Linked DNA regions of Daphnia pulex. The protein of the gene in region 1 purifies or fractionates together with the protein of each later gene. This does not show direct contact. Links are inferred from orthologs where the notes say so. Each region holds a gene or a part of one and is shown in the gene's direction. Other genes may lie near its edges. The genes, in order: histone deacetylase 6-like; mitochondrial import inner membrane translocase subunit TIM50-C-like; phospholipase A-2-activating protein-like; lipoamide acyltransferase component of branched-chain alpha-keto acid dehydrogenase complex, mitochondrial-like.

Region 1 (8,126 bases):
CCTGCGTATAAGACTTGATACGTTAAATTGTAATTGCATTTTATTTTTGTAATTCCATAACAATAAACAGGCACAATTAATTGTTAAAATTGTTTGCATCTGATTGAAGCGAACTTCCTTACAGGATTTTTAAAGTGGTTTCTCACTTTGGGCATTATAGGACCTCACACGGCTGAAGATCAAGGGCGGAAAACGGGTAGCGGTTATATCAAAATTGGCAGTCGTGGATTCCTTATTTTGGTAAACAGTCTGAATACTGTAACGATTCCAATGAAGTGCGCAATGAAGTTTCTTCTTATTGATAGTCTTGATTTCCAATTCCTACATTCATCAAAGACGACAGTAGAGAAATAACGATTTAATTGCACCGCTCAATTATAAGGTGTCAGTTAACTTACCAGTTCGAAAATCTGCTCAATCATTGTGCTGCCGTTATTATTTGCTTCGTCATTCCTTCTTCGGTTTCTGTTATCGATTCGTTCAGTTCGTTCTGGAATCCGTTTTCGTTTGAAGATACACGTAACAACGTTTCCATGGAGCGTGTAGAAACCGCGGAAACAAGAAGGATCTTTTCTTTTTAGACGTTTACTGACTACCAAGCTAGGAATATCCGCAGTGGTGGACATTATAGCGGTTCGGTCAGGATAGAAGCGCAAATATCGAAAGTAGTTTACCAAATGCCACGGCTAAATAAAAAAAGAATGAAGAAAAATCACGGTAAGACATTTTCTTTCGGCAATATTTTACCTGATAATTGGTATCTTGAAAACTGTTCTCTCCTTGCCGCACATATGATGTTTTACTTATGTAACAGCCATGAAAATGAAGACGAGGACGATAAATGAACATGTCTCTATAGTTGGTAAAACCAAGAGTTGTAGGACTGGCTGGGCTGTTCCAGACACTGGAGACACAAACAAACATTTTCGTCATTTCCAACAAGCAAAACTATCTATACGGAATAAAAGTATACCTAAGGCACGCGAGTTTCCAAATTTCGGTGTCTCGGGAACAGACGTAGAGACCACGGCTAACCTGGAAACATGATCAAATAAGTGACGCTCCTGAAATTATAGCAAAACAATACTACTTACCAATGAAACTTGTTCTAATGACCGAAGATCCAAGTCAGAAGATACCACCTGAAGAAATTGAAATGTTAATTTTAGCGCTGCACATTTATGTAATGACCATTCATTTAAAAAATACCCATTTGAGAAGGTAAATAATAATTTCACGCGGTAAATCCGATATATGAGTACCCTAAAACAATTTTTTCTGTGAATGTTTGATACGCACAAGTCATTAAAAATGGTTTCAAACCTTTGGTTCATCGTGTGGGGTACAAACTAGACCATCCTGTAGTAATAGCCGTTCAAGCTTAACTAGCAAATCAACCGGAAGTTCATCATCGTCTTCATCATCAGAATTGTTGTTATGAACTTCTTCCTTCAAGTCTTTGTGACTTTTTGGTTCCGAAGTAGTCTCGCTGCCTTCTGTCGCACCCAAGAAAATTTAAACAGTGACAAGAAATTTTCAAATATAAAATTTGATTTTCTAACCTTTGTTCTTGGGATATGTGTATATTCTTTCTTCAATATCAGGGACCAACTGCATTGCTCGTTTGTAAAATTTTATAGCTTCCACAACTTCTCCAGACTTTTCATGTTTTACTCCACGTAGATATAAACTTTTTGCCTAGAGAATTTGGGTAATTGTTTAGTAACATAAATAAGCTAGATTGTGGATATGTTTAGAATGGTACATAGCTATACAAACCTCTTCTTCATCAACAGTTTCTTTACTCCCAGACTCGTGATCCTCATTTTTGGGTTTACTGCTGCTTGTCAGAGATTGCTGCACTGCAATGTTATGTTTAAAGTTTGGTCAACATTCACTAACAATGATAGAGCAAAGTGATAAATTTATACATCTGGCAGCAGAAATTTCAGTCTCCCATTGTCGCCGAAACGATTCTAGTAGTTCCTCGGTTGCTGGATCTTTCTCGGACTCCTGTTTGGCATGACAAAATGAAATCAAAAATATTTTGATTATATAATTGTAAATGTTTCTTATCCAATCAAGCTGTAGCAACCCTACCATTGGGAATGAAAAATAATAAACTCTCTCGGCTGGATATATGGTCAGTCCTACTTTCGGACGATACTTTTTTAACTGAACAGTAAGTCCACATATGCACAAATATACGAAATATTGGTGTAAAAGAAAATGGAAACAATCGAATTGATGTTGACCAAGTTAATACGTCAGTGGCTGCGCGACAAAAATAAAAATTTCGTCTGCTAGTAGCAGAAGCGGTGATGGAACACGCGGCCTATTCAAATTATGGCAAATTAAAGATTGCTTTGCAGACAAACCGAATGGTTCTAATATAAAATAAATCCATAAACTTACTCATGAATGCTGTATGTGGAATCACTATTATACTTGGTTTTCCTTCGGTAAAACTGACTCTAGGAAAGTAACTAGCGAACATGAAATTGTTAAGACAATTTGCAATCAACTGTGTTGTATTTTGAATGTTCCTTTTCACGTTATTGAATAAACAAATGTTTGAATAAGGACTTGAACAGATAAAAAAAAAATTCTTGGTACAAAAAATTAAATTCTTCATTCAACTTGATTTTGATTCAACTTCTTTGAGAGAAACAGATGAGCTAGATGCTCATTAAACAGCAGGGCGGAGGGCCATTTCTTGAATGTCGCACAACAACTTCGGGTGATCTTTTTTCGCCTTTTTCCATCCATCAGTCGCCATAACGTCAACTGGATTAATACGAAAGAAATCGACGGCTTCATTCTTCAAATCATCCACCAGTTGGTGTTCATTGCCGAGTAGAAGCAGCAAATCCATGCAATTGTCGGGAGTCATATGATGGAGCAAATGGACTTCACACTCGGTCTTCAGCTGGTCCAAGAAGTATTTGTCTGCGGCAAAGTAAAGTTGAGTTGCCATTTTCTCCATGGTCTTTGAAGATAAACGGGCAGTGTACACGAAACGAAGCAACTCGTGAAATACATCCGGATTGATGTCTTCAATTTCCACTTGATTGGACAGTTTCTCCTTGGTCGGATGTTCGAACATGGCAGCAAAGACTTTGCTTCTTGACGCCAAAATACTTTTGTGTGCTTGAAATTTTTGAGCACCGACGTTTAGAGTGACGTCAGCGTACTTGATGTTTTCGAACAAATATTCAAAGTGGTCAATCAGCTGATCACTGCAACTAATTGACTGGTCTTGGATTAGATTAGCTTTACCTGCGACAGGTTCTTTTTTCGCGTACGATTCAATCTCGCAGTGGAAGACGAGACTTCCGTTCAATTGCTGACACTCAGATTTTAGGATTGCATCTTTGAGAAAATTCAGATGGATGCTACAATAGCCATTCTTTTGAACACCGTATACTTGCTGGAGAACTTTCTGTCGTTTCCCGTTTAGGATTGATAATTTCATGCGAAAAGGGTCGACAGCCGTGACGCTCTTGAAGTTAGCGAATCCGGGAGTTGTAAGAAATAGTTGTACAGTTAATGTTGTACCCGCATCAGACAGTACTAGCTTCCACAGACGATCAGGAGTTTCTCTAGCTGAAAATAACGTTGATTCCAGAGGTTCCATCCACGCCGCAACAGTTTCTAGACATGGCACTTGAACATTCCATTCTAAATCAAGTTTTGAAATTTGTAATTCAGAGAGACAGACATTGTCCGCTGACGACTGCATGGCTCAGTACGTAGAAAAATGGCGACTGTTACAAACACGTGTTATTCTCAACAAAGATGAAATGCGAATGCCAGCTCTCACTTGAGTGTTGAGTCACTTCCCACTTCCCAGACCCCAGCATCAGCAAAATTGCAGACTGAAGGGTGAAGGGTAAGGGGCTGAAAACGAATAGAAAACGAAACTTGAAAGGGTGTGAGAAAGAGTGGGAGGGGATAGAATTTCATAGAGCCGAAGAGAACCCGAGGGAATAAAACTTTATGTTGCTAAGAGAAATTGTAATTTGACCAATTGATTGCAACTAAATACCACCGACGAAAGGGATTAACTTTTCAACCATAAAGATTATGTTGTTAATCATTGAATATGGCGTCATCTTTCATAAACCCGTAAAAAAGCCTGAAAACTGAGAAAGCTGTGACTAACCACACACATATAACTTAAGTTTTCTTGACAAATAAAAACGTCCTCCTCTCTATTATGTTTGGTCTCGTTTATTTAATTTGACGAACTCTAGAGAAGAAATTGTGCGATGATTTGTTCAGTTTGTTCTGTTTCGTCTTCGAAAATGGATGTCGTTCAGATGTCGTTCCACAAACGCATGCCGTTCGTCTGCTAGGAGAGTACTCGGTATGTTGTTTGATTTGACTTAATTATTTAATCATCTGAACTGATTAAAAATTAAGCTTTATATCGGTCGTGAATGAGTGTAACTTGACACAGTCTTACTTAAAGGGGTTGTAATCAATTTTAATAGCATAAATCACATTTCAACGGTAAACCCCGTTTCTTTGGAAATTGGAATTTAATAATTTGATTTAATAAGAAACCGTTATAAATAAATAACGCAGTAGTTTAGAATTACCTCGTATATTCATATTTCGATAGGCAATTCAAACTTCGTTCGTGCATCGGTATAATAAGTGTGAGCTTGTTTTAACCGACGCTCACCAGATGTCTCACTCAAGAGCTTGTTTGTTGACTTGCACTTGAGTTCTGTCAGCGGCTGCAGTCAAGAATTTAGCAGTCCCACAAGACAAGTCGAAATGAGTAAACAAACAAAGTTTTCGAATTTCGTGAAAGGTCGCTCACCATCGAATAAAAAAAATGAAAAATTAAATGTGTTTGTGGATCACTTGCAAAATGTAAGGACGGTTAAGACTGTTAAACGTTGTTTAATTTGGATAATGTTGAAGCTAGATGTTGATGAATGTATCACTCTGTTCTTGTAGACTCGGGATTCTAAAGATAAGATACGTGGCCAAACAGGAATTGTTTATGATGAACGGATGGTTGAACACCAGTGTCTTTGGGATCCCAATTACCCTGAATGTCCAGAGAGATTCACTCGGGTTTTGGAAAGGTCAGTTATCAGTTATATACCTAGTCTGAAATTTAAACTGCTTATGGTGAAATAATGGTTAAAAAATCTTGCAGATGCCGTGAATATGGGTTGGCTCAACGCTGTGTAGAAATTCAACCTAGAAAGGCAACTCAAGATGAGCTGTTGAAACTTCACACACCAGACAGAATTGAATTGCTCAAAGGAACAGATGGCAGTCCAGATGCTGAAGCATTAGAAGCTATCAGCTCAGGTTATGATGCCATTTACATTCATCCATCAACAAATGAGCTAGCATTGTTGGCAGCTGGATCAACAGTTGAGATGGTTGATGCCATACTGGATGGAAAGATACAAAATGGAATGGCTGTAATCAGGTAATATACATACTTTGCAAATTTTACTCCTCTCTTTTGTTTCAATTCAAAACTGATTTATTTAGACCGCCAGGGCACCATGCAATGAAAAGTGAATATTGTGGCTATTGTTTCTTCAACAATGTAGCAGTTGCAGCCCAGCATGCATTAGATAACAAGGGTGTTGAAAGAATTCTGATTGTTGATTGGGATGTTCACCATGGCCAGGCAACTCAACAAATGTTCTACGAAGACCCCAGGTAAAAAGGCATCTAGTTTATCACATGCACTGAATCAATTCTATGTGAGGGTTACCTTTATTGAATATTCAGAGTCTTATATTTCTCGGTTCATCGTTATGAGCACGGAGCTTTTTGGCCCAATCTTCGTGAAAGCGATTTTCACTACATTGGAAGTGGAGTTGGCAAAGGCTTTAACGTGAACGTGCCACTGAATAAAACGAAAATGGGTAACGCCGACTATCTGGCCATTTGGCACCAGCTGCTATTGCCTCTGGCTTATGAAGTAATAACTCATCTTGATACCATGTTTCATTTCATCTATTCAAATCGTTCAATGCATATTAATACTATGGTTAAATACGCTTGTAATTTAAAAACGCGCTTCATCTTGTTCAGTTTCAACCAGAGTTGATTATTGTATCAGCCGGCTATGACGCTGCCTTGGGTTGTTTCGAGGTAGTGTACAAGACTTCCTACTTATTCTTTTTGTTTTTCTTCTTTTCTTGTGATTTGCATGGCAATAGTTCCGCCCTGATCTTGTTCTCGTCTCCTCTGGTTTCGATTCGGCACTAGGCGACGAGAAGGTCCAACATTTGTTCTCTTCTTATTTTATATTCTACCTTTTTCTGAAGGAATTGTGAAGATATGCGGTGACTAATATTGTCAACGCCTTTTGTCAAATTTAGGGCGAAATGGAAATCACTCCCGCGTGCTACTCCCACTTGACGTCATCACTCATGGGGCTGGCCCAAGGCAAACTGGCTGTCGTTCTCGAAGTATAATCCGCTGACTCATCTATTACTCTGACCAAACCCTAGTGCTGGTCATTAATTATGTGTTTATTTTTAGGGAGGGTACTGCTTGAAATCCTTAGCCGAAGGAGCTGCTCTGACCTTGCGAACATTGCTTGGTGATCCTTGCCCAGTCATTGCAAAAGTCGAAGAGCCTTGTCAAAGGTAAAACGATTTCTTTTGACGAATATAATGCGGGCTGCATCATTTCTCTTATTGTAGTATTCAGGAAAGTATTTTGAGCGCTATTTATGTGCTTCGCCCTATGTGGAAATGTCTACAGTTCCAGGGCCGTTTTGATGCTTCAAAAGTGGGTAGTCAAAAGGAAGGAAAGCACTTTGTACCCAGTGTCACTTTTGAAGGATCTGACGTCAAACAAACATTGTTTGCCACTCGAAACTGCTACCCAGTGCAGAGCAATGAGACGATTGACCTCTTGGATCAGCGCCTTGATAAGCTCATTAAAGGTGACATGAATGATTACAAATTTTAAATAACAATTTAATTAACTGTAATTGTTTATTATTTTAGAAACGAGCTTGGCAGTGCCTAAGCATCGCGTTTGTTTCATCTACGATGAAAGAATGGCTTTGCATCGTAATATCAACGAACCGTAAGTTGAATTTTAAATTGTTTCGAGTTCTTTGTTATTTTTATGGAATTGTTTGACGATATCTTTTGCAGTGGACATCCGGAGCGACCTGCTAGAATCACTTCAATCTACCAGAAATTGATGGAATTCGGAGTGTTGGAGCGCTGCCACCGGCTGGATGCTCGAGATGCCGATCGCGAAGAATTGCTGTGGTTGCATCAGGCCGACTACATCGATGAGATTGCGGCGACCGCTGGTAAAAAGCAATCGACTCTCAACCAATTGGAACGGCAGTACGGATCCATCTTCATCTGTCCGGAAACCTATCAGGCTGCGTTGCTCTCAGCCGGCTCGTCTCTCCAAATTGTTGAAAGTATTTTGAGCGGTGAGAGTCGTAGTGGAATAGGAGTCGTCCGGCCACCGGGGCACCACGCGGAATGCGACGAAGCGTACGGCTTTTGTTTCTTCAACAACACGGCGCTGGCAGCCAAATATGCCATCGAGATTCATCATTTAGAAAGGTAATGATGCAATTCAAACTCGTTTATTAGATTAAATACGATTTATTTTATCTAGAATCCTTATCGTCGATTGGGATGTACACCACGGCAACGGAATCCAGCGGATGTTTGAAGAGGATCCGCGCGTATTGTACATTTCCTTGCATCGCTTCGACATCTTCCCTTTCAAACCGGAAGAATCTGATTGCAACGTAGTAGGAAGCGGATCCGGAGCTGGATACACAGTCAACATCGCTTGGCCCAAAGTATTTATTATTCAAACTGAATTATTGTCATCTGTTTTCTTAACTTGTACCAACTTGTTTCATTCTTATAGAGAGGGATGGGCGACACGGAATACCTTGCTGCGTTCCAGCAGATTATTATGCCTATCGCTTATCAATACAATCCGCAGTTAGTTCTTGTTGCAGCTGGATTCGATGCGGCCCAGGGGGATCCGTTGGGAGGTAAAATAAATTTTAAAAAAGTCCTTTTCATTTACCGTTGGATTTCTTTTAATTATACGACGTTCATAGGCTGCAAGATTACTCCGGAAGGGTACGG
Region 2 (7,562 bases), on another chromosome or scaffold:
AAAGTTCGTTGAATGGCTGAGTAAACATATTGTGTGATGGCTCAACATGATATTGAAGGTCTTCAATGAGGCTCAGGTGGCCGGATTCAATATACTGACTGGATAACAAAGAACAGCGTTTTATGATTAGTGAAGATATCGATAATCATAGACTTGACATTATCAATCCTTACCTTAATCCATGGTTTAGAACATTGCGACTCGGAGTTTCTTTAGTGAAATTTTTCATCATGTCGGTGTAGCTGTGACGGAATTTCCGTCGGGTGTAGGAGCAACGATAAGCACCGCCCATCAGCTTGTTGACGACCAAGCCGATATCGATAAGACTGTAAGAATAGTTGCGAGGCAAATGTGGACGGACGTCACGAACGATGTACCTCAGCGTATTGGCTGGACCTTGTTTGGAATTATAAAGTTCTTCCAATCGATGGATGGTTAAGAATTTGGCCATTTGCACACCCATTTCCAGCAGCAACTTTACAAAGTCCACGCGATTTCTCGCCAAGGCTTCCATCATGGCTTCTTCCAGGGCTCCATCGGCCCACTCTTGGCCGTAAATGAAGATCTCGGAACGGGCAATGTCGACTCGATTCCAAGCCAAAGCCAAACTAAGTTGTTCGGCAGCTGTCAAGTAACGGGCACGGAAAAGTGCACAAAGAATGGCACGATCCAGCTGATTCAGTGACTTTGATTCCGAGGTCTCTGACGGTTTGAAAATGGTGATGAGATCCACATTTTCGACGCACTGTAGAAGTTCGGCAAGCAATTTATTCGTCTGAGACTGACTGATATTGAATGTTTTCTGGATTTCAGCCAGCAGTTGTTCTCGTATTCCGTCCAAAGCAGTCGATGATTCCTCCATCTCTTTGGCGTATTTGTGCGCAAAGGAAATCAGATTAGCTGCCCGGCCTGAGCCTTCCACCACAACTACTGGAACAGGTGGCGAATCCGTTACGTATTCCAGCACGGTCCTGATAGTGTCCATTCCGCCCTCAACGACCAAACAGACAACAGGAATAGAACAATTAGTTCGAGCCGGAAGCCGTTGGCTGGATATGTATTTCTCCAGTTTCCTCCGCAGGGCGATCTCCGCTCCATAACGACCTGGAGAAAACAGTTGAATATGACCAATCCACGGATAAATGAACAATTAAAACTGACCCACAGTTCCGTTGTCAGCCAGTAGAAAATACGAGTGTCGATTGTTGAGAGCAGCGAATTTGGAACGCGGATGATCGATCGATTGATAGGCGACATCCTTCTTCCGGCCGATCAGTGAAGCTCGATTTTCCACCACACCCCAGGGAGCGACGCCGATACTGACGACACGGCCACTTCGTAATCGAGGAGAACGTTCTGATATCAAAGCATCGCCGACATGATGAGTCACTCCCGTACTGGTCCCACCCGTCAAGATCCATGCACCTGTCGGAAGTGGAAATGAGGTGAAAGCTTCGTTAGTCATCTAATGTTAATTAGTACCCGTAGTTTTAGCTGCTCGAAGGAGTCCCTCTTTGAAGACGAGCTTGAGTCGTGGATTAAGTTTAAAATTAACTTTGCCACCGTGTACGGAGATGACAAGTTTAGGTAATTCAAGTCCCCATTCACGGGTCAGCAGTTGAAAAATATGGTCGGTGCCTGAATCAAAGCCCAGCCGGATGAATTGAGCTTTATTGGGATGTGGGCCGCCCAAGAAATCGATGGTGCCATAAGAGTCGGTTGGGCTGCTGACAGTATGATGGGCAGGGGACCAAACTTCTTCCGACACGCCAACATTTTTGATTCCGTGAGTCTTGTGATACGTCCACGTTCGGCCGCAAGTACACAGTGGGCCTTTGTCGGAGCTGCAAACGTATCTGGAGCATTCTCGCTTGCAAAATGTTGATTCTATCCAGCCTGGATGACCCGGAGGAATCGCAAAAACGACGCCACTTGCAGACGTTACAGCCAGTTGATTTTCCTCTATATGGGTAAAAGAAATAAAAATGGTTTACTTATTTAACAAAGTTTTAGCATTAAATTAGAGAATTTCATGTGTAAAAATTAAATACAAAAAAAGCGGCATTTTGAAAACAACTTACCAATCATGGCCGAACGTGTTTGGACTCAGTCATGAGAAACTATAGACTACCTTAGAATCTTAAATTCAAGTGCACCCGTTTCACCAGCATTGAACTAGTTTTAAGGTACGTACACAACAAACTGACATGCAGTGATAAGTAGTTTTGACGAAGGTCGAACCTTAAAAACAATCACACAAGATGAAGCAATAACATCGTATGTAGCAATATTTGGACTTCAGATTAGAAGTCTTGGATTAACTCATACTTGGCTTTTCACAAAAGGATCGGTCGACGTTACCGTCTGGGAAAAGTCAAGGAACGGTATGAAATTTCACTACAAGTCTGGAAAGAATGAGCTTCACTGAGATGAGAGAGCAATTATTAAAGAGGACTTTACACGATAGCGGCAATAAAGAGGTTGTTGATCCTCGATAAGTTGTATGTTATCAACAAATTAATCCTGCATTTGCGCATTCTTTGCATTCATATCACATGTAACCGATTGCATCGCGGTGATATCAAGTAGCATTAGAGACCCCGACACACTCACTAATAAAACGTTATTGAAAATGTCGAAAACGAAACTACAAGGTTAACTTTAACTATACCAAGATAATTCAGTCAAGTATGAAATCCGAATGTAAATAAAACCGATAAAATGTTACCTTCTACAGCTGAACACTTTTAACATTTTCCATTTGAGACGAAGAAGTATCGCGGCGGCAATAATGCAAGGCCATTCAAAAATAAGGCATGAAAATATGAATGCAAAATCTCTTGTTCTCAGCATCCTGCACTCACAATCGTAATCGCAATATACCGCGTTTAGATTTTACAGACCCATAGGAATTAGGAAATAGATTTTGGATTTTTGAATTTTTTTACCCGACGGTTGGAATAAAGAAGCAATCTGACAACTACACAAATGTTGCAGAAGATTCTTGAGAAAATTAAAAATATCAAGAAAAATGGCTGCCTCCAGATATGTCACGAGTTTCGTAAAGTTATCTCAAATAAGTGGTACAAAATTGACTTGTGGAAATTTTCACAGACTAGTGACAATTCCCCAAAATGTGCTGTGTCAACCAAAGCAAATAAGTAACATTCTCTTAGCTACCAGGCACTTACAGTTTAGGTGTTACAGCCAAAAGTCCGACAGCAGCAACGAGACACAGACGACGACGGCGAACAAACCGGCTGCAGCTAGTCCAATATTAGGTTCATTTCAAGGTATGGGAATTGCAGGAGAGGTTTTAAAGTCCCAAAATGAAACCGAAGGAAAGCTGAAGTCTTCTCCACCTGGCCAACAACAACAAAACAACAGTGAAGAAGATGAAGAAGCCAAAAAGAAAAAGGAAGCAGAGGCTAGTTGGAGAACTATGAAATACACACTTATTTTCTTTGGAGTAACACTAAGCGGCCTAAGTGGTTACATTGTTGGCACATGGGGAGCACCAGAGAGAGATGAAGAGGGCAATGTGATAGAAGACCAATTCAGCTCAAAACCTCTGGCACTACAATATATCCTTAGGTCATGGAATGCCATAATGAACTATAGTCAAGTAAGCATCTCTGACTGTCAGATTTTTAAAACATTTCAATTAATTTTAATATTGTTTTTGGCTTTCTTTTCAGATGATTAGAGACCCTTCAAGAGATAAACTTTTACCTGATCCTCTGAAAGAGCCATATTATCAGCCTCCTTACACATTAATCTTGGAAATGACTGGTGTTCTAGTCCACCCAGATTGGACAGTAATTAATCAGTTGAACTGTATGCATTTCAAATGAAACATCATAATCATTTGCTCTCTCTCTTAATTTCAGTATCAAACTGGTTGGAGGTTTAAGAAGAGGCCAGGAATAGATTTTTTTTTGGCACAAGTGGGTCCACCCGCATTTGAAGTGGTTGTCTACACGGCTGAACAAGCCTTTGTAAGTACCATTTTTAAATTTCACGTTCTCGGTACAAAATAATTAAATTTCTTTACCTCTTTAGACGGCCTTTCCCATATTAGACGCCTTGGATCCCAACGGTTACATCATGTACCGACTCTTCCGCGACGCTACTCGGTATGTTGATGGTCATCACGTGAAAGATCTTGACTGCATCAATCGCGATCCATCAAAAGTGATTGTCCTCGATTGGAACACCCAGTCAGTCAAATCGCATCCTCGTAATGCACTTAGAATTAAAGAATGGAAGGGTAACGATGATGACAGGACCCTTGTCGACTTGGCTCTACTATTGAAAAGTAAATGTCCTTCTAAGAAATAGTATGAAAAAAATACTAATGAAGTAACGCATTTTACTGGTGAATAGCAATTGCTACGTCAGAAGTCCAAGATGTGCGAGAAGTGCTGGATTTCTACAACCAATTCGACGATCCTATCGAAGCATTTCGGGAAAATCAACGGAAACTTCAAGTAAGTGTAAATCCATCATCCAATTCTTAAATTTGTTTTTACCCAATTTTGTTGCTGTGCAGGAACAACAGGAACTGATGGAACGAATGAATCAAGAGAAACAAATTCTACCAGCTACATCTGTTGCCCGTGGTCTATTTGGTCGGCGATTTTGATTCAGCAAGTCTCGTTTCTAGTATATTAATTCGAATAAATCACCGATCGAAAGTTTCTGAAAGAAAAAAAAATACTCTTATCATTGGGTCGAGGCACAGCCAAGAACGGGAAAACATTTTGTCCCATATTTTATACAGGATGTCAACCGTCCATATAAAGCGTCGTCGATACCTACTGTCTCGGTCGTTTTCAAGTTCTTTACTCTTTTGAGCAATTGTTACACTTCAGTTTGCGCGGTAGATGGGTTCACATTCCTTCAAGTGTTGAATAGAATCTGTAAATATTCCAGTGAACTCAATCGCAATAGTTTAAACAAATACTTTACCTTCGTTGGACTAAATAAAATGCTTCGACGGTAATTTACACTTAGATTAGTTGTTGCAATACAATTGAAGATAGAAACTTAAATACCGTATCGTATGGGAGTATTTAGGTAAAATATTAGGTGCTGGATTGATATTCCTAGACTGCATTGAATTATTAGTCGTCAAATAAATGGATTAAAGCTTTGGACCGGTAATCGACTTAAAAAGATTGCAAACCATTTGAAAATCACTTGTTTTATTCCTTCAAGGAACAGTCAAGAAAAAATTGTGCAGCATACGCAAAACGTTTTTATTGATTCTCATGTCGGATAACGCGTCACTCGTCCATAGCATCGTCATTTTCGATACTGTCTCGCTTCCGTTTCCAAGTGCTTTGCTCCCTTGAGCACTGACCATTGTTTGTTACACTCCAGTTTGCTTTGTAGATAGGTTCATATTCCTTTAACTGTTGAACAAATCCTATTAAGAGAGTTTGAGCTATGTGAGACTATTATTCTAATGAACTGAGATGCAACAATTTAAAAAAATACCTACCTTCATTGGGATTAATGCAAAACCTTCTCTGTTGCACTAAACTGAAAGCCTCTCTGTAAATAAATAAAAAAATTAGATCAGAGCTTGAAAAGAATGTCATGCTTTACTGCTTATATATGAATGAATGTTGAGAAATATACCTGTAGTCAAGGCAGTATTTTTGCATAAGAAAGCCCAGAACAATGGCAGCACTTCGAGATATGCCAGCATTACCGTGAATAAGAGCTTTGCCTCCTGCAGAAAAACAGCTATCCAAGAAAGTTTTAACTTTTTGGAAGTGCTGAATGATATTTTCTGTGACTGAATCTTTCACGTTGACAACCAGGTATCTGAGGAAAAAGTGCAATACAAATAAGTCCATACAATTTGTTCCTTGTTTGGAATAATTTAATTTACTGGAATTTATCAACAAAATGTGTTTTGATCATGTGAGATTCAATGTCTTGTCTAACACAAACGATATGAGTGATTCCGTGAGTCTCAAGATAGTTCTCCTGGGGTTTAAAAAAATAAGAAGGTAATGTTGTTATACTTATTACATTGGCTAATGCAAGAATAAAAGATCTATGCAAACCATATACTTTGGATCGAACTGCAACCGAGTAGGGCCCAAGGAACAATCCTTTGACAATTTCTTGCATTTCCCTTCTCATCGAATATGTCCAATCGTTAGGTTCTTGGAAATCAGCCGTTATCGACGAGGCCGAAAGTATGTCGTGACTATTTGTCTGAACTTCCATTGAGGCGACTATTAAGACTATTAAGAATAAAAAGAAAAACTGTAAACACTAAGCCTGCGTTTTGAAACGAAAACTTTTTGTTTTTTTTTCACTCTGCTGTCTGATAATCGATGTTTAAGAGAATCGATTTTTCCAAGCAGACTAGAAATTTTCTTTTTGGCGGTTCGAGAGTCGAGTTCAACCTTTTATTGGCGGTTCAAGTTCAATACGTTGTTTCTTGTTTATAAATAGACGTCTGGCATGTGTCAGACAGCTTCCCTTTAAAGACGGGAAGATTTTGTCACTCGTCTCAGACCCGTTTCTTTGCTTGAGCCGTTTCGACACGATTACTCAGTTCTCTAAATTGTAAGTATTTTTTTCGATTGTTCCGAGGCAAACCAATTTCTTTATAACGAAAAAGTAAAGTTATTTTGCTTGTTAGATTGCCAGTTGCCCAGTTCGTAACAATAACAAGAATGTCGAATGGAAAGTCTTTAAAAATTACGGCTGAGGACAAAGACGGAGTTCGCACAAGATCTACTGTTATTCGATCGGAAAATTTCGGTCACGGATCAAAAGTTTCCATATCCAGTGAAGAGAAAAGACAGATGGGAGCAGGCAGAGGCAGTGATGTTAGTCATGTCTTTGCTAACATGCTTGGAGGATCGGGAAAAGACAAAGATAATCTTTTCCTATCATCCCCAAATTTCAACAGAGGTGCTTACAAAGAAAATGAATTTGAAACCAGGAAATTCATTAGAACTACCGAAAAGTATCACCCAGGAAAACAAGTAGAAGCTCACACAAAGGTCACCATACACCCCAGCAGCAATTCGGGAGCCGATCCTCGCATGAAGTATGATGTCACCTCGCACATTGACGGCAAAGAAGGGCCAAGTTACACTACGTTTTTTAATTTTTTTGGCAAGAAATGAGGTCAACTGCGATGGGGATTTTCAATCGAAGATCATATATATTCAATTATTCAAATAAAAAGTTCGCTACTTTAAATTTTTTAAAGTTATCTTACACCGCTTTTTGATCAAAATTTTTTCTAATACAATTCTTTTCACTGCTTTAGTCATTTGTTTTGTATTTTCTTATTCTACAATTTTTTACTTTTTGCGTCAAATAAAAGAGTAAAAATTACAGAGAGAAAGGCAGAAAGGGCGTTTTTCAGTTAATCGATATTTAAGAAATGAATCGATTTGCCCAAGCAGACTACGTAAAAACTTTTTGTTTTTCTTTTGTGAGTTGGTGACCCTCTCTCCTAGGTTCCACATCCACACCCTTTTTCTTATTTGTCTAGGCTGTTCTACAGCATTTTATGTAAATTT
Region 3 (8,193 bases), on another chromosome or scaffold:
TCTTCTCATTCCCCTCTTTCTCCCTCGTTTCTTGCTTTGCTGGAAAAAGAACTGGAAGAATTCCAGCAGCTCCTCAGCAGCATGGCTACTACCCCCAATTCTTCTTTCGCCCCTTCATCTCTTCCTTTATCAGGTAGCTGGAGAGCCGTCTCACCCCTTTTTTATAGCAGCACTTTGCTTCCAAACGATCCGCGCTTTCACTTTGTACGTCTGCTTCGTTCCGGTTTTAAAGGAGGTGGCTCCATGTTAGCAGGGGACCTTTTTACAATGTAGGTGTCGTCAAAACTGCCACATCCGTGTGGAAGTACATCGTGATTGGTTTTGGGCAGCCACTCCTTGATGGAGAATGTCACATTCGTGTCGGTTGTTTGCTATAATGAACTATCTTTATTTCCTGTCCTTGGTGCATTCCAGGTATACTAGTATAGTCTTTCCTCATTCAAACTCGTTCTGACGAACAGAGAATCAAGTTAAAAACGGGTTACAATCGTTTCTGATACCATTTTAAGTGAACGGGTCTTCATCTGATTTTCGCTCTATCTTCGGAACGTGTAACTTCTATTTTGTACGGGAATTTGACGCGTTTTGTCAGTTTTTTGCCTATTGATTACGTGAACGGACGTGATGTTTTCGTTTAACGTATGCTTTGTGTGGAGTGTCTTAACATCGTGTCCAAGAGGTTGCGAATGCTTTTGAAACAAACAGACTTGGATTCTTGTGTTTTAAAGAAAATTAATCCATTGAAATAATCTTAAACACTGCTTTTCCATAATTTTCCGCACTTAACTTATTGCTGCAAGAGTTGAATGGGTTATAATCCACAAGCCCTTTTATGTGAAAAATTCCACAGTAGACAAAAGGTGCTGTAAATTAATATTTCTAGCAATGATTGACAAAATGCATTTGAACCCAAGTCTGATGCTGTGCTGATTTGAATGTTTACAGTGAACAGCTACTGTTTTTAATTATTATCAATTATTGTACGAATTTGCACATCTAACCTCATTTTTATTTCACTTGATCAGGTCCCGCTGGTTTGACATCGTCCGCATCTTCCAGCACTCCTGCGGAAGAGAGCAGCGGCGTTATGCTGCATATGGGTGTTTGAGATGGCCCACATATAAAGGACCAAGAAAGCCACTTAAAATATTTTACACGACAGTTGCATCTTAAGCAAAATTGCATTGTTTTTAAAAATTCAATCGTGAAAGATTCAATGATTGAGGATAAGTTAATGAAGAAGAAAACGCGTCGGTTTTATTCGTCGTGTCTAGTCGTTTTTCATTTCCATCCTCTGCAAAATTACTCACTCTCCTCTGTCTCTCTTATCTCTCTACCCCCATCTGTTTTAAGTAAATTGGGCGTGAATGATTACCTGACGACCATCACTTCTCATGTGCACGATTTCAATTGTTATTTTAAATGAGTACTTCCTAACCTGGCGACTTTACAAAAAAAAAAGAGCAAAATGTTTGTGTGTATGCGTGTTATAGGCATATCATGTAATTCGAAACTGACGTACTATATATAATTACCTCCCCCGGATCGGTCCTTCCCTTTCTACATTTATACTCGGAGCCCCATATCCTTGTAAATATTTATACATAATATTATCTATACATAGACACGATAAGCGGGAAAGCGGCAGCTTCACGAGCTTGGGCCATCAGGCGAAGTGAATTCCAATGTTTCAGCACACCCATTTTGTGACTTGACGTGAAAAGACGACAGACCTCCCCTAAACTGAGTCATAATTCTTGTTGTTACTGTATTTACTGTATAAATAAAAAGAGCTAGGAACGTAAATGACAAGTAAACATGGAATTTGACGACGTTCAACATTTCAATTTTATTAACCTGCAACAGCCGAAATTTTCTCACAGGCATCAAACACACGCATACACGGGGGAAAAGAGGATTTCACAAGTAAAAAAAACAAAAAAAAAAAACAGCATTGACGAAATTCAGGGCTCTTCGGTGACGATTTCTTCATTCGACTGTACGCTTCCTGTTCGCTCTCCGATTTTTTCGACTTCTTCTACATCTTCGGGTTTGCTTAATGATACTGGATTAATTCTCTCGTTCACATTTTCCTCGGAATCCTCTTCCGTCATATCTTCATCACTGGAGTCGGATTCGTCCCCGTTTTGAACGACTTCATCTTCATCGTCTGGTGATTCGCTGGATGAACTAGAACAATCTTCACTGGAAGTATCAGTAGAGGGATTTCTCAGTCTAACCTGTGAAATCAAAATGTTTTACTTGGATGTTTCTTAAATGAATTAATTTGAATCTTGTACCTTTTTCCCATGCATTGGACACCAGACTCTGAACTCTTTGATTCTTCTATTCTTGTCCTGCATGCACACTATCCGATGATGCATCTGATTCATGTAGACATTGGAGTCACACATTGACAGTTGCTGTTCAAGGTTTTTCACACGCTCCTCTAGACTTGATATTTTCTCAACAAGATCTTCTTGGGTCCAGTCAATTGTTGTTTCAGCTTCTCTCGTGGTCCTGTACACATTTTCAAAATCTTGCTGGAAATAAGGAGACCAACCAACATCATCTCTGGCACCAGGTGGGGTAAAGCCTTTATCAAAGTCAATAAAAAATGCAGAGTTCTCATGATCATCTATGATGAACTGTGTTGAGTTCTGGGGTGCTTTTGGGACTTTGGCAGGTCTCAGCAACCTTCTACCTCCACGAGTTGCCAATTTGTGAGGATGTAACAGAGGATGGGTTTCTTTGTGTAGCATTTTGAAATGTTTTCTTAGTGGTTCACCATCTTCGAGTAACTGTCTTTCCGTCTGTGGGGCGACCACTTCGGGGGTGATTGGGTCTTGATCACTTGTTGTCTCCAGCGAACGATCGTTTTTGTCTTTTCGTCTTTTACCACCCGCTTTACGTCGATGAGTTTTCTTCTTCGTTAAAACTTCAGCATTCTCCATTTTTGACATCAATGTTTAAATTTTTTTTCTTGCAAAATCATTAACACTGAGTGTGTAGGCTAAACAGTAGATATTCAAATGTTATAAAAGTACAAACAAATTCTTTCACCAAATGTCGAACTTCGCAGAAGCGAATGTCGAATGAAATTGTGTGTGCAGTTTTAGTTCAAGGCCTACCAAACGTCCATATTCTATTACTACATAAGTATAGTTTCCGAAGGCCCATTTGCTTTCGTATGGGTGTCGGGCAATGGATGGAACAGAACAGCAGACTATGAGTCTCTAGCAAGTTTGCAACCCAACTGAATTTTTATCGAATTTCTTCTCTACTTGCTTGTTCGTATTTGTTCGTCAAAAAAATACTTCTTCTTCACACAAGAGGCGCTACTTGAACGTGTTCTTCGGCAGAGAAAGCATTGTTTGAGCCTATAGATCAATTTAAAAAATAATTAATTACGAACAGATATGGTTTAAGAAAAATATATTTTTTATATAATGTTATTCACAACCTCCGTTTATGAAAATATTTATAGGGGGAAATATTACAAAGTAAACATCCGTCATCGATTCTTGTTTCGAACGAACGGCAATAGCGCATGATTCTTGATTTGTTTTTTTTTCGACTGACCTAGCAATAGTGAATTTATTTTGTGGGATTCCTATTACTACCAGAACGTATTTTCATCATGAATAAAATGCCTTATAAATTGCGATGTTCCATGCCAGGACATTCGAAGGACGTTCGGAGTGTCACTGTTGGAGACTTAATGGAAGAATGCATCGTATCTGGTTCCAGGGACAAGACTGCAAAATTATGGTTGCCGGAAGGGTATTCAATTTGATTTAAATACATTGTCATTATTTAAAGTAGCTTGATTACATCTAAAATCATTTTTCAGTTTGGGATTTGTCTGTGATCAAACATACATTGGAAGTGAAGGTTATGTCTCTGCTGTTGCTGTTGGTGGATGCTCAGATAATTTCCCTAGTGGATCTGTCATAACTGGATGTCAAGATGGGAAAATTAGAGTTTATAATCCAGGTGCAGTCAATCCAACATCCACCTTGACAGGGCATACAGACACTGGTTGGTTATTATTCTTAAAATTTCATAATATTTTTCATAATAAGTTTTCATAAAATGATAGCAAAGTTTGGTTATTTTTTTTTAGTTTGTGCTCTGGTTACTCGCCCTGGATTCTTATTAAGTGGTTCATGGGATAAAACTGCAAGGCTTTGGCAATCAGATGGTTCTCCAGTTGTAACTCTTTCTGGACATTCTGCAGCTGTCTGGGCTGTAGAATTTTTGCAGTGCAGTAGTTCTGCATCTGAATCTATACTATTGACAGCATCTGCAGATAAAACCATTAAAATGTGGAAAGGTGATTCACCATTTCAGAGTTTTAAGGGGCACACTGACTGTGTCAGAGCACTTGCTGTCTGTGATTCCACTCGGTTCTTGTCTGCTGCAAATGATGCAACTGTCAGATTGTGGGTCACAAGTGGAGATTGTATTTCTACTTTCTATGGACACACAAATTACATTTATGGGTAATCTTTTTGCTTTTTACAATCTGAACTTCCATTAACTGTTGGACTTCTTCTTTTAATTAGATTGTCGATGATGGCTGATCGCAATACTTTCGTCAGCTGTGGTGAAGATCGTTCTCTGCGCATATGGAAATTAGATGTGAGTGATGAGTGTCAACAAACAGTCTTCCTTCCTGCGCAGAGTATTTGGTCAGTCAGCGTTATGAAAAACGGCGATATTGTCACAGGGAGCAGGTATCAGTTAAAATCAAGAAAGTGATTTCAAATTGAAATGACTGCACGTTTTTCTTAGTGATGGATTAGTTCGAGTATTCACACAGAGCCCAGAACGAACAGCTAACCCAGAAGTGTTACAAGCTTTTGAGGAAGAACTGGCCGCCACGTCTTTAAATGCACAGTTGGAACTGGGGGGTATCAAAGCTTCAGAGTGAGTTTATCATCATTTTTATCTAAAACCCACTTCATTTGGAAGGAATAATTTACTAAATTTATACCTTTCTCCCATAGCTTGCCTGGTCCAGAGAGCCTTTTTGAACCTGGTACTAGAGAAGGTCAAACAAAAATGGTTCGTCACGGAGAAACTGTTTCCTGTTATAGGTACATTTCATTTTAGTCACAAAGGATTTACTCTTTTCGTCATTCAATTTCTGCTTTTACATTAGCTGGTCATCAAGTGATGGTCAATGGACAAAAGTGGGTGACGTAGTCGGTGCTGCTGGTCAATCAGATTCAACCAAGAATCTCTATGAAGGGAAAGAATACGATTATGTTTTTAGTGTCGATATTGATGAAGGCAAACCACCATTGAAGCTTCCTTATAACACCTCCGAAGATCCTTGGTTAGCCGCTCAAAAGTTCATACACAAGAATGATCTCAGCCAGTATTATCTGGATACAGTGGCAAACTTCATCATTACCAATAGTAAGAGCGGAACTGGCAGTGGTGCATCACAGAAATCAAGCGAAACATATGTGGACCCCTTTACTGGTGGTTCGCGATATGTTCCATCTTCTGGGAATGCTCCGTCGAATTCAGCAATGTCTCAGGGAGAAGATCCATTTACTGGTTCTGGTCGGTATATTCCACCCGGCCAACCAAAGAAACCGGAACCTGCTTTGTTCCCAGTCAAAGAATTCCTGCGCTTCGATCAAGCGAATATTGAAGCTATTTCAAGTATACATTGGTTAAACATATTATTGTAGATCAACAACATCTATATTGTTTTATGGTTTTAATTAAATAGCCAAACTAAAAGAGTTTAATGGCAAAGTCGATCCGAAACTGCAGCTGGCTGATTCCGATTTATTGGCATTTATACGATCCGCTGATCCCAGTTCTACTGTTGAAGGAATTCCTCATTTAGAAACATTTCTTCGTTGGCCATCTGGTAATATTTTGCCATCATGTTTTGGAAAGAAACTTACTAAATAATCTTATTTTACAGATAAGATGTTTCCTGCTTTGGACATTTTACGACTAGCATCCCGCCATTCTCGGGTAGATCGAATGTTAAGTGAAAAGGAAGGATTGCTTGATGTCATGCTGGCTATTTCTCGCTCGACCGTCCCGAACTGCATGATGATTTTAAGGACAATTGCTCATTTACTCATCCATAATTCTTCACAGCAAATACTAATGGATTATCGCGAAACGATATTTGCAGCAATCTTAGCGGTAGTAACGGAAAGTGACCCCTCATTTTTAAAACACTCCCAATGGAAACACGTTGAAATATCTGTTTCGACCGTTATTCTTAACTATGCCGTCCTTATTCATCTAAAACCTTCATTCGCTACAGTAGAGGCTAAAGCAAGTCTGATGAGCGCAATTGGCGAAATTCTATCCAAACTACAGGAGGAAGAGGCTTTGTTTAGGACTTTAGTAGCAGTTGGAACTCTTTTGTCAAATGCTGATGACTCAGTTGCCATTGCACATTCTTTAGAACTTAAATCTAAAATTGACTACTTCCAGAATATTTCTGGTAAAGTGGGTGAATGTTCTAAACAAGTTTTAATCCTTTTGAAATAATATTGTAATGCATATGTATCCTGTATTAACAAAGTGAAAACATGAAAATGAATACAGTTGGAAATTTTTCCTGAATTAATTCTTCAATTTAAACTGATATTGAGTTCAGTATTAGCAGAACTGTTCAAATGTTGTTAGAAATTTTCAGTTTGCTGTCTCACAGGCATCAATCCAGTCATTATAAACATCCACAGCTTCTGATAGGAAATTGATAGTAGTCTGGAAATCTTCAAGGCAAACTCTGCATGTGATTCGACCAGTGTTGCGTGTTTTATCCCTGAAAATAAAAAAAAGTATTCATATCATCTGTTGTAAAAATATCTAGATTTCAACAGCACATGATCAAGGTTTAAACTTACATTTTTACTTCACAGGACTTTTCGTGGTTGCAAAATGGGCAATTGAATTGCGTGTCCAAGGGCTCGATGGCTTTGCGCTTGGTGGGAGGCTTCCTCTTACTCTTTCTCTTTCCCATTGTTCGTTCAATCAATCAGATAAGCGATATCAGTTAATTTGTTTTATACTGTAAAGTAAATTGTGAATTCAATAAATAAGAAGAAACAATATTCAAGAACAAGCAAAAACACCTCGACCGTTGAGCGTCGTTCTCTAGTAAACAATCCCGATGTTGCCAATATGTTTTGTAGCTACTTGGCGAAACGAATTTTATTTACTGTGTTTTGTTTTAAAATCCCATTTGAAATAAAAACTTGTTTAAAAATTATTAGCACAGGTTCTTATATTAATTAATCTTCTTAAGCAATAAGAATTTGAAAAATTAATGATAAAAAAATAAATTGACAACTCTGTTAAAGACCCACGCCGCCAGCCGGCTCTCAATCTCTCATTTCTTGTCAGAGAGTTCGAGCGAAAACATTTTCATTCTCTATTCTGTTGCAATTTTTTTTTAAAGAAGTACCTCAATCTATCAAGAATGGACGTCAGACCCAACAGTACGATTTACATTAATAATCTCAACGAGAAAGTCAAGAAAGAAGGTACGAACTTGATATAGTATTGGGAAAATATGAAGGAGACTCGTGAAGATAAAATCACTAATGTGTTTTTGAACGTTAACCACGTGAAAACCTTTGTGTGTGTAGACACGAGTTCTTCACACTTTTCTAAATAATATCTTATTACATTTTTAGAACTGAAGAAATCATTGTATGCGATTTTTTCCCAATTTGGACAAATTCTTGACATTGTGGCTTTAAAAACTTTAAAGATGAGAGGACAAGCCTTTGTCATTTTCAAGGAAGTAACTTCAGCAACAAATGCCCTCAGAGGAATGCAAGGCTTTCCATTTTATGATAAACCTATGGTAATACATTTCATTCTTTCTTTTTTAGTTAAAAAAACTATGCCCTGTGATGATTCTTATCCTTGCTCTCTCATGTTTAATTACGTGTGTCGAAAAATCTGGCCCCCTCTTTAGGTGCTTGTTTTGCCCTTTAGTGGGCTGAGGGTTTTACTAGTAGATTCACTAGGGTTCCAAGAGAATATACTTGTCTCTTAAATTTTTTAAATTTTTTTTGCAGCGCATCCAATATGCCAAAACAGATTCTGATGTTATTGCCAAGATGAAAGGAACATTTCAAGAGCGTCCTGCCAAACCAAAGCCTGAAGGAGAACCCAAGAAGAAGAAGAAGAAGGAAA
Region 4 (7,876 bases), on another chromosome or scaffold:
GATTAATCAAAATTAATGTCATTTAAATTTTAAAAATTAATTACAAAAGTATTTATGGTTAAGTTTGTTTTGAATAGAAATTTTTTAAATTTTCCTTCGTAAACTTGCTCAGCTGCAGAGCAATCTGGCAACAATTTAGCAGAAAGCATTCTCAAACCACGTGTTTGACAGGAATATATTGCGTGCGCCGTGCTGACTTTTTGCTTAAAGTTTACCATAGTTTTCTGTACGAACGCGTTGTTTTCTTTCTCGAGATTGACCGTAGGTTATTTAATCAAGTTTAAAACAGTTGTGAACTTTTAAGTACAAGAATGACGCTCAAAATTAACAAAGCGGCTGTCAAGAAAACCAAGAAGCAAGTTGTCGTAGCAGATGCCCCAGGTTTCACTCATTCAGAAAGCAAACTCATCGACCAGTTAGAAGCCAAGAAAAAAGTCAAACATGATAAAGTAGTCGAAGAAGATTACGGTAAAGTTGGAAACATGTTCAAAAAGAAAAAGAAAACTGCTGATGCTGAAGAAAACATTGAAGAAGAAGAAGAGAAAGTCGTTGTTAAAAAGGAGAAAAAGTCCAAGAAAATGGAAGTGGATAATGAAGATTTCGAAGTTATCAAGCCCTCAAAGAAATCAAAGAAAACTGAAGAAACAGAGTCTTCAAGTGATGTAGTCATCCCTGGCTTCTCAGCACCAAAGGTAGCACCTAAAAGAAAACATGAAGGAGAAGAAGTCAATGGTAAGAAAGCCAAAAAGACTGTTGGAGAACAGACAAGTGTATTCAAGAAGAAGGAAAAAGAAGCACTCAAAGTTGAACGAAAGACCAAGGAGAATGAAAATCGCTATCTGCTGTCTGTTAAAGCCAAAAAGCTCTGGGAGGAACTCAGAAGGGAAGACACTACCAAAGAACGTCAACTTTCCATTAGTGCTGATCTCTATGGATTGATCAAAACTCATGCAGCAGAGGTAAGTGAAAAGTTGATGAAAAGCTGTAATTCATTACAAATTGTATAATTAAATTTTCCTTTTAGTTGGTCTTTGCCCATGATACAGCCAGAGTTATTGAATGCTTGTTTGAGAAATCATCTCAGGATATCAGAGATGCCTTATTCAATGAACTTAAAAGCCATACTGTTAATTTGGCTAAATCACAGTACGCACATTTCTACTTGATGAAAGTTCTCCGCCATGGTAACAAGGAACAGCGAAATTATGTCATCACTGCGTTAAGCGGAAAAGTTGTTTTTCTTATGAAACACAAGGTATGCATCTATTTAACACCATCTTCTTTATTTCAATATTTGGCTAATTAATTCTTTATTATTTATCAGTTCGCCTCCAAAGTGGTTGAAACGGCATACAACGATTGGGCTAACGCAAGTCAACGCGCTCTGCTGAGCCAGGAATTTTATGGACCTGAATTTAAACTTTTTAAAGATGAGTCCATTACTACGTTGAGTGCCGCTCTGGCTAAACATCCCGAGAAGAGAGAAGTATTCCTAAAGCATATGAACCAGGCCATCGAACCAATCATTGCCAAAGGTTTGTTGATTTGATACCAATATTCGATTGTATTCAACCGTCTAATCGATTTTTTAATTGGAAAAGGTGTCTTCAATCACAGTTTATTGCATCGTTTGACTAATGAGTACCTTACTCACTGCAAAGAGAATGAACGCTCTGAAATGATCCAAAGTCTTCGTCAGGCAGTCGTTCAAGTTTTGCACACTCGCGATGGAGCTCGAGTTGGAATGACGTGCCTCTGGTATGGTACCCAAAAAGATCGAAAGGTAAATTTAAATTTTATTTATTTTGTGTTCGAAATTATATCTCACCCGCCTGTCTATTGAAAATTATATAGGATATCATCAAAAGTTTCAAAGGTCACGTAACCAAGATCTGCTTAGAGGAGCACGGCCACATGGTGCTGATGGCGCTTTTCGATTCCGTGGATGACACCAAACTCGTTGCCAAAGCTATTGTCACAGAAATTGCTACCAACTGGAGAGAGATTGCTGTTCACGAGCACGGCCGAAAGGTTGTCATGTACTTGCTTGCTGGCCGCGATCCCAAGTTCACCCATCCACAGATTATTGACATATTGAAGCAAGGAGACGGTAATCCCAACAGCAAGAAAGATATGGAAACTCGTCACAAGGAACTTCTCCAGTATGCCTCCCCTTCCTGGTTGGAAGCTGTCTCACACGAACCTGAAATGTGGTTGAAAGATAGCAAAAACTGTCTTGTTCTTGGCTCCATTCTCAAATTTTGCGTCGGGGAAGAATTGCAAGCTGCTTTTAAAGCAGTGGCTTCAGTTATTGGTAACCCACTCGACCAAGATCTGAGAAACGCGTTTAGCTCTAGTGGCGAAAAAGTTCAATATTGGGTTGAACAGTCGGCTGTTCATATGACGGTTAAAAAGCTAATTCAGTTTGACAAGCTACGAACGCAACCTCCCTATTTTAGCCAGGCAATCATCGATGAAGTAGACTCTGATGAGATTAAAGGTTGGCTAAGCTGCAATCGCGGTTCTTTCTTGCTCGTTGGAATGGTTGAAACCGAAATTGACAGTGTCATACAAGCAGTTTTAGAAAAACTTAAAAATTTGAGGAAATTTCTACAAAAACAAACCAACAAAGGCTCTGACATCCTTGATTCCAAATTGGCGAAGTTGGAACCAATCTAGACTTCACTGTTGAACTGTAATCGAAAAAAAATCATTGGAATAAAAAATAATTTCTGGAACATTTTGTATTTTTTTTTTAATTTAAAACAAATAAGAATTTTGTGTTGCCATATTTGCAAATTTATTTATTTTAAATTATTATTTTATAAATAATTTCAATAAATATAAGTGTGTGCTCAGCGCCATCTTCTCTCCGTCGGACGTGATAAGTGTAGAATTTTTCCTCTGCGAGTAAACATGGCTTCTGCTTCACGACGAATTGTTTGTAGTTTTCGACAACATAAGTTGTTCTACCTGGTAATTAGATTTTTAATTTGTCAACTAGATTCGATAGAATAATTTAAAAATTTATCCCGTTTTAAATAACACCTAGAAATCACGATTGCAATACAATGCCGTTCCATTGCTTATTTCTCGTTTCGGACCCTGCGGTCACGTCGAACAATTTCATCCAATAACTACTAGATTTTTTCATTCTTCGAAACCTTTTTATGGAGAGAAAGTACCCTTCAAACTTTCAGATATTGGAGAGGGAATCACGGAAGTTACGGTTAAAGAATGGTAATAGTCTTTGTTTAACATTTATTGTTCACTGTATTTATATGAGATTGAAATCAATTCTAAAGGTATGTCAAGGAAGGTGATAAAGTGGCTCAGTTTGACCCCATCTGTGAAGTTCAGAGTGACAAAGCATCAGTTACCATTACCAGTCGCTATGATGGAATCATTAGCAAGTTGCATTATGCTACAGACGATATGGCCAAAGTGGGTACACCATTGGTAGATATAGAAGTCAGTGGTTCAGTCACAGGTACAAAAAACAGTGATTCTTGTTTCACTTGATTTTGTGTTGCTTATAGTTTTTTTTTTTAGAAGAGCCTGTTGAAGAGTTGCAAGAAAAAGATGCCATACCCCTCGGTGAAAGAGAAGACGAGAGTTTGGATACTCTAGAACTTCCAGCAGAAAAGGTATTGACAACACCATCTGTTAGAAAAATGGCCAGTGATCATAAGGTATGTTTTAGCGACTGAACTTTAATAGAAATTCTGTCAGTAAAACTTGGTTTTAATATTATAGATAAATCTACGAGATGTACAAGGAAGTGGGAGAGACGGACGTATCTTGAAGGAAGATATGCTTCGGCACATTGAAACTCTTCGTAGCTCTAAGAGCGCCCCGAAAGCTAAACAACAGGCGCCCCAGGAACAACCTAAACCTGTTGCAGCTACCTCCCAACAGCCGTCGCCTTCAACAAAAAGCCCACAGCAAGTGAGACCAGCCTGTCCGGTTGGAGTGGACCGCACTGAGTCGATTAAAGGATTTAAGAAGGCTATGGCAAAGTCCATGACTAATGCACTGGTATGATCAAGAGATTTCACGTTCATATTTTCGGTTCATAATTTTCAAGATATTTATTTTTTAAAGCGAATTCCTCATTTTGGTTATTGTGATGAAATTGACATGACATCAATGGCTACGCTGAGACATTCTCTGAAAGAGAATCCAATGGTTAAAGAGCGAGGCATTAAGTTGTCTTTCATGCCATTCTTCATTAAAGCTGCATCCATGGCTCTGCAACAGTTCCCAGTTCTTAATGCTTCGGTTGACGAAGCTTGCGAAAATATTACTTACAAGTATGTAACCAAAAAAAAAAAAAAAAGTTTCTTTCTCACGTAAATAATTATTGAACTTCTTTTATTTAGAGCCTCTCATAATATTGGATTTGCCATGGATACGAGTCTCGGTTTAATTGTGCCGAATGTAAAAAATGTCCAATCATTGTCTGTGATGGATGTTGCTATCGAACTAGCCAGGCTGCAGGAGCTAGGCAATAAAGGAGTTTTGGGCACTGCAGATTTAACCGGTGGAACTTTCACCTTATCCAACATTGGATCGGTTGGATATAAATCTCTTAATATATTTTATTGATTACTTTTTATAAATTCCTCGTTTAAAACGTTTTCCCTTTTAATTTCAGATAGGAGGAACTTATGCCAAACCCGTCATTATGCCGCCGGAGGTTGCTATTGGAGCAATAGGACGTGTCCAGGTAGTTTTTAAATTTCGGCAACCTTTAATTATTCAGATGATTCAGTAGTATTGAATTGTTTAGGTACTTCCTCGTTTCAACAACAAAGGTGAGGTGGTGAGAGCATCCATCATGCAAGTTAGTTGGTCTGCTGACCATCGAGTGATTGATGGCGCCTCAATGGCGCGATTTTCCAATTTGTGGAAGGCTTATCTAGAAAATCCCAGCATTATGATCTTAGACTTGAAATGAATATTCAAATACTAATAATGAAGTACTCTACAATCCGTGTCCTCCTGGCGGAAGGGTACGTTTCTAAATTTAATAAAAGAGGATCTATATTAGTGTATAATGGTCGCGAAGTGAAATCTCAACAGCATGGGACTCAGTCATATGGTCAGTATGATCATCAGTGTATGAAAAAAAAAGAAACTTGATATAATATACTGCCTATCTGTTATTTCACTAAGATAACAGATTAGTCCTACACGTGAAATTTTCTTTTAAATGTTTTTCTTTTACTTAAGTTTAATATTTTAAATTAAACAAACAATATGACTGTGTTTGTGAATTTGTAGTTTTATGTACTATTTATCCAGTGTGAACAACATTTTCTTGTACTAGTAATGCCATGTTTAATTTTTAATATTATTTACTTTATGTGATGCAACTTTAACAGGAGATAGTGGAGACGGACTTGGTCAGTGGCCCACTTGTCTGCCCGCTAGGTTAAGAAAACCAACGTATCTGTCATCTGTCATGAATTACCTGTTCGTAAGTTTTCGTAATGTTTTGGGAATTTCCCTCAGAAATAGTAAATCACCCAATTACTTACGATTCGGTTCGGTGTGCGCGGTTGCGTCGGTTTAAAATTGAGCAAATAGAGAAGCTTGTTGTGCGCAAAACAGAAACATTTGTAATGACTTTCTCAATCCGAATGAAATATTCAAATACTCCCTAAAATCGTTAAATAACCTAACCAAACACAAAAAACAGTAACTACACAATAACCGTCTAAGCCAACGAGCCCCCTAGCGGGATAATGGATTACATCGAATGAAGCCACAACCCCGCCAAATAAACGAAATCAGGTCTAGGCGGGCTGGGAAATGTTTTTTAGCCTTTTCTCTAAACATGTTTTCATCTTTTTTAGAAGATCTGATGTCAAATAGCGTTGCTGTGGCCCGGTCCGAAATTTTTAGGATTTTTTCAGGGGGTGACCGGTCCCGGCAACCGAACGGTTGCACCGGACCGTTGAGGGCCTTACAAAAACCCAAAATTGTGAAATTTAAATTTACACTGGAAAGGAAAGATGAAATGTAATATTTTCCAACTGTGACAACAACCCAACCTATGTAGGTTGAAATGTAGATCTCCTTGAATAGTTCATTCTGTTGCGTGTAAAGTATACCGCCTGACCGCACTGACCCACACCCCGTGCTGCCTGTGTTGGGTGTCTATAGTCGAGACAGGGGAAATCAAATCATCTGAAATGATACCGCTCTCCGTTAATCGAGTTCACAACATCACAGACTACTTTTTATACTATACCAAAATTTTTCTCACGACAGCTAAGCATGTCTTATCCAAATAAAGTAGCTACTGAAAAAAAATAATACGTGTCGATAACAAAAATAATTCTATTTGTGTGTGTGCTGTGTGTGTGTGTGTGTGTGTGTAGACACATATTTAGTTTAAGGATCCGTTTACTCCCGGCTGCTGGAATTTCGTTTTTTTTTTTCTGGTTTCATCCAGACGTGCTGGTTGTTTTGGTTTGCGTATTACATGTCGAAACGGGCGCAGACCATTAATTCCACTTGCTTAAACCGACCGTGACAAGAAAGCTGCGGCTTGTTTACAGTATATGATTTCGTGCTGGCGCGGAGATATGGTGCTGCCTTTTAACTGCTTTATATCCTTTTCGGTTGCCTCAACAGCCGTGTGATTGCGAGCCACAATCAACCGATATGTTTATTTGTTATTGTTACATAACTTTGGACGAGCGGGAGTGCGGGACTGGTTCTGGCGTCGCTTGAAACAGCCCGGAGAAAATTGTGCCGGTCGGACGACACTGACCTGGCTGTTACGATGCCTGAAAGGAAACGAGGCTTGGGATAATCTTGAAAATATTGAGGACGTCAGGCGTGAAAATAAATCTACATTGAAAAACAAAAAAGAAAGTAAATATTTAAGATAACTAATCGAGTTTCCGGTTTCTTGAAGTATATTATGTTCAGCTCGCCTTATTAAACAGCCTGCGTCATCATCTACATTATCCTTTGATTTTGGGATCTGCAGGGCACCTATAACCTTCGAAATAAACCCTGAATGACCTAATGCAGGCCTGTTGTGCTCGCTGTTGTGAGAAAATCTGTTTGGACGATATGGCTTTATAGTTTATACACACGCAAACATGTTTTTATAATGAATCCGAGTTTTCGAGATTACAAATAACTGACTAGAGAAAATATGAACTTGATAGTAGTAAATTTCACTTCTGTATAAGCAAACGCAATATAATAACCCGCGTGAATAAAATGTGAAAAATCACGATGTTCCTTAACAGCAGTAATAGTAGATAAATAATCCGTGGCAAAAGGATCAGCATACGTCAATTCTCGAATCAGGGCGTCAATGGCGTCATGCTGCCGCCCGCCGTTAGGCCAGCAAGCTTGCATGACGAGGGCGGGCGGGCGACTGGAAGCTGACCTTCAGGATGTGTAACATTGCCCGAGGATGGCGGGAATAGATCGCGCAAGTATAATGATGTACATAGGAAACTGAATCACCTCGTCGTCAAGCGCCCAACCGCAATTCCTTTTATTTGATCGATGACTCCGCCGTTGATTGCGAGATGCTCATTTGAATGGCGAATAATATGTAAAGGAGGAAACAGTATATGCTAGACATCCGCTGGACATTCCCGCCATATAAAGAGGGCCGGCCGGCTACCGACCTTTTGGCTTATTTGAAATCAGCCTTCATCTGGTCACGCGAGGCTTTTTTATTGTTCGAACAGGAGAAGAGCCTATATAATGGTTTCAATAGCGTTTCAAGCGTCTCGACGGTATCAACTCGATATGATTTCAACCGTGTCTATCGAGTGATGCATGGGAATCGCTCCTATATATATATTGCTTCCGCCCGCTATGAAAGTCGGTTATTTTA

What was found.
Region 2: the proteins of histone deacetylase 6-like (region 1) and mitochondrial import inner membrane translocase subunit TIM50-C-like purify together in Homo sapiens (affinity purification with mass spectrometry; 3 studies listed by BioGRID and IntAct, counting the BioPlex papers as one, with this or other methods). This does not show direct contact. The link is inferred for Daphnia pulex from reciprocal best matches to the Homo sapiens genes HDAC6 and TIMM50.
Region 3: the proteins of histone deacetylase 6-like (region 1) and phospholipase A-2-activating protein-like purify together in Homo sapiens (affinity purification with mass spectrometry; 4 studies listed by BioGRID and IntAct, with this or other methods). This does not show direct contact. The link is inferred for Daphnia pulex from reciprocal best matches to the Homo sapiens genes HDAC6 and PLAA.
Region 4: the proteins of histone deacetylase 6-like (region 1) and lipoamide acyltransferase component of branched-chain alpha-keto acid dehydrogenase complex, mitochondrial-like purify together in Homo sapiens (affinity purification with mass spectrometry; 3 studies listed by BioGRID and IntAct, with this or other methods). This does not show direct contact. The link is inferred for Daphnia pulex from reciprocal best matches to the Homo sapiens genes HDAC6 and DBT.

Annotation. Positions count from the first base shown.
Region 1 is NC_060025.1:1,307,667-1,315,792, forward strand, and holds the start of histone deacetylase 6-like, read left to right. Parts: upstream 1-4,702; 5' UTR 4,703-4,785; coding exon 4,786-4,884; intron 4,885-4,971; coding exon 4,972-5,102; intron 5,103-5,176; coding exon 5,177-5,458; intron 5,459-5,523; coding exon 5,524-5,697; intron 5,698-5,769; coding exon 5,770-5,962; intron 5,963-6,075; coding exon of another isoform or gene 6,076-6,135; intron 6,136-6,203; coding exon 6,204-6,263; intron 6,264-6,365; coding exon 6,366-6,455; intron 6,456-6,528; coding exon 6,529-6,635; intron 6,636-6,692; coding exon 6,693-6,937; intron 6,938-7,001; coding exon 7,002-7,083; intron 7,084-7,154; coding exon 7,155-7,583; intron 7,584-7,638; coding exon 7,639-7,828; intron 7,829-7,899; coding exon 7,900-8,126. Other genes in the region: F-box only protein 9-like, read right to left, coding at 130-321, 399-686, 748-904, 974-1,035, 1,095-1,142, 1,210-1,263, 1,324-1,496, 1,563-1,698 and 3 more; speckle-type POZ protein-like, read right to left, coding at 2,690-3,742.
Region 2 is NC_060024.1:13,317,947-13,325,508, reverse strand, and holds mitochondrial import inner membrane translocase subunit TIM50-C-like, read left to right. Parts: upstream 1-2,987; 5' UTR 2,988-3,031; coding exon 3,032-3,625; intron 3,626-3,698; coding exon 3,699-3,818; intron 3,819-3,890; coding exon 3,891-3,998; intron 3,999-4,062; coding exon 4,063-4,318; intron 4,319-4,386; coding exon 4,387-4,490; intron 4,491-4,552; coding exon 4,553-4,645; 3' UTR 4,646-4,700; downstream 4,701-7,562. Other genes in the region: transient receptor potential cation channel trpm-like, read right to left, coding at 1-98, 174-1,104, 1,162-1,425, 1,483-1,962, 2,082-2,088; serine/threonine/tyrosine-interacting protein B-like, read right to left, coding at 5,289-5,431, 5,507-5,559, 5,647-5,835, 5,903-6,000, 6,088-6,246. UniProt on the Homo sapiens protein: Essential component of the TIM23 complex, a complex that mediates the translocation of transit peptide-containing proteins across the mitochondrial inner membrane. Has some phosphatase activity in vitro; however such activity may not be relevant in vivo.
Region 3 is NC_060021.1:10,307,811-10,316,003, reverse strand, and holds phospholipase A-2-activating protein-like, read left to right. Parts: upstream 1-3,531; 5' UTR 3,532-3,640; coding exon 3,641-3,783; intron 3,784-3,853; coding exon 3,854-4,041; intron 4,042-4,126; coding exon 4,127-4,505; intron 4,506-4,568; coding exon 4,569-4,739; intron 4,740-4,797; coding exon 4,798-4,932; intron 4,933-5,012; coding exon 5,013-5,102; intron 5,103-5,167; coding exon 5,168-5,679; intron 5,680-5,749; coding exon 5,750-5,893; intron 5,894-5,950; coding exon 5,951-6,534; 3' UTR 6,535-6,609; downstream 6,610-8,193. Other genes in the region: CTTNBP2 N-terminal-like protein, read left to right, coding at 1-133, 1,026-1,108; uncharacterized protein LOC124194545, read right to left, coding at 1,965-2,240, 2,301-2,963; transcription elongation factor 1 homolog, read right to left, coding at 6,679-6,811, 6,894-7,009; U1 small nuclear ribonucleoprotein A-like, read left to right, coding at 7,469-7,532, 7,686-7,858, 8,076-8,193. UniProt on the Homo sapiens protein: Plays a role in protein ubiquitination, sorting and degradation through its association with VCP. Involved in ubiquitin-mediated membrane proteins trafficking to late endosomes in an ESCRT-dependent manner, and hence plays a role in synaptic vesicle recycling.
Region 4 is NC_060026.1:4,117,649-4,125,524, reverse strand, and holds lipoamide acyltransferase component of branched-chain alpha-keto acid dehydrogenase complex, mitochondrial-like, read left to right. Parts: upstream 1-2,836; 5' UTR 2,837-2,916; coding exon 2,917-2,976; intron 2,977-3,052; coding exon 3,053-3,240; intron 3,241-3,305; coding exon 3,306-3,490; intron 3,491-3,552; coding exon 3,553-3,692; intron 3,693-3,756; coding exon 3,757-4,038; intron 4,039-4,104; coding exon 4,105-4,313; intron 4,314-4,382; coding exon 4,383-4,575; intron 4,576-4,657; coding exon 4,658-4,729; intron 4,730-4,792; coding exon 4,793-4,960; 3' UTR 4,961-5,204; downstream 5,205-7,876. Other genes in the region: pumilio homolog 3-like, read left to right, coding at 312-959, 1,025-1,255, 1,325-1,535, 1,602-1,783, 1,855-2,679. UniProt on the Homo sapiens protein: The branched-chain alpha-keto dehydrogenase complex catalyzes the overall conversion of alpha-keto acids to acyl-CoA and CO(2).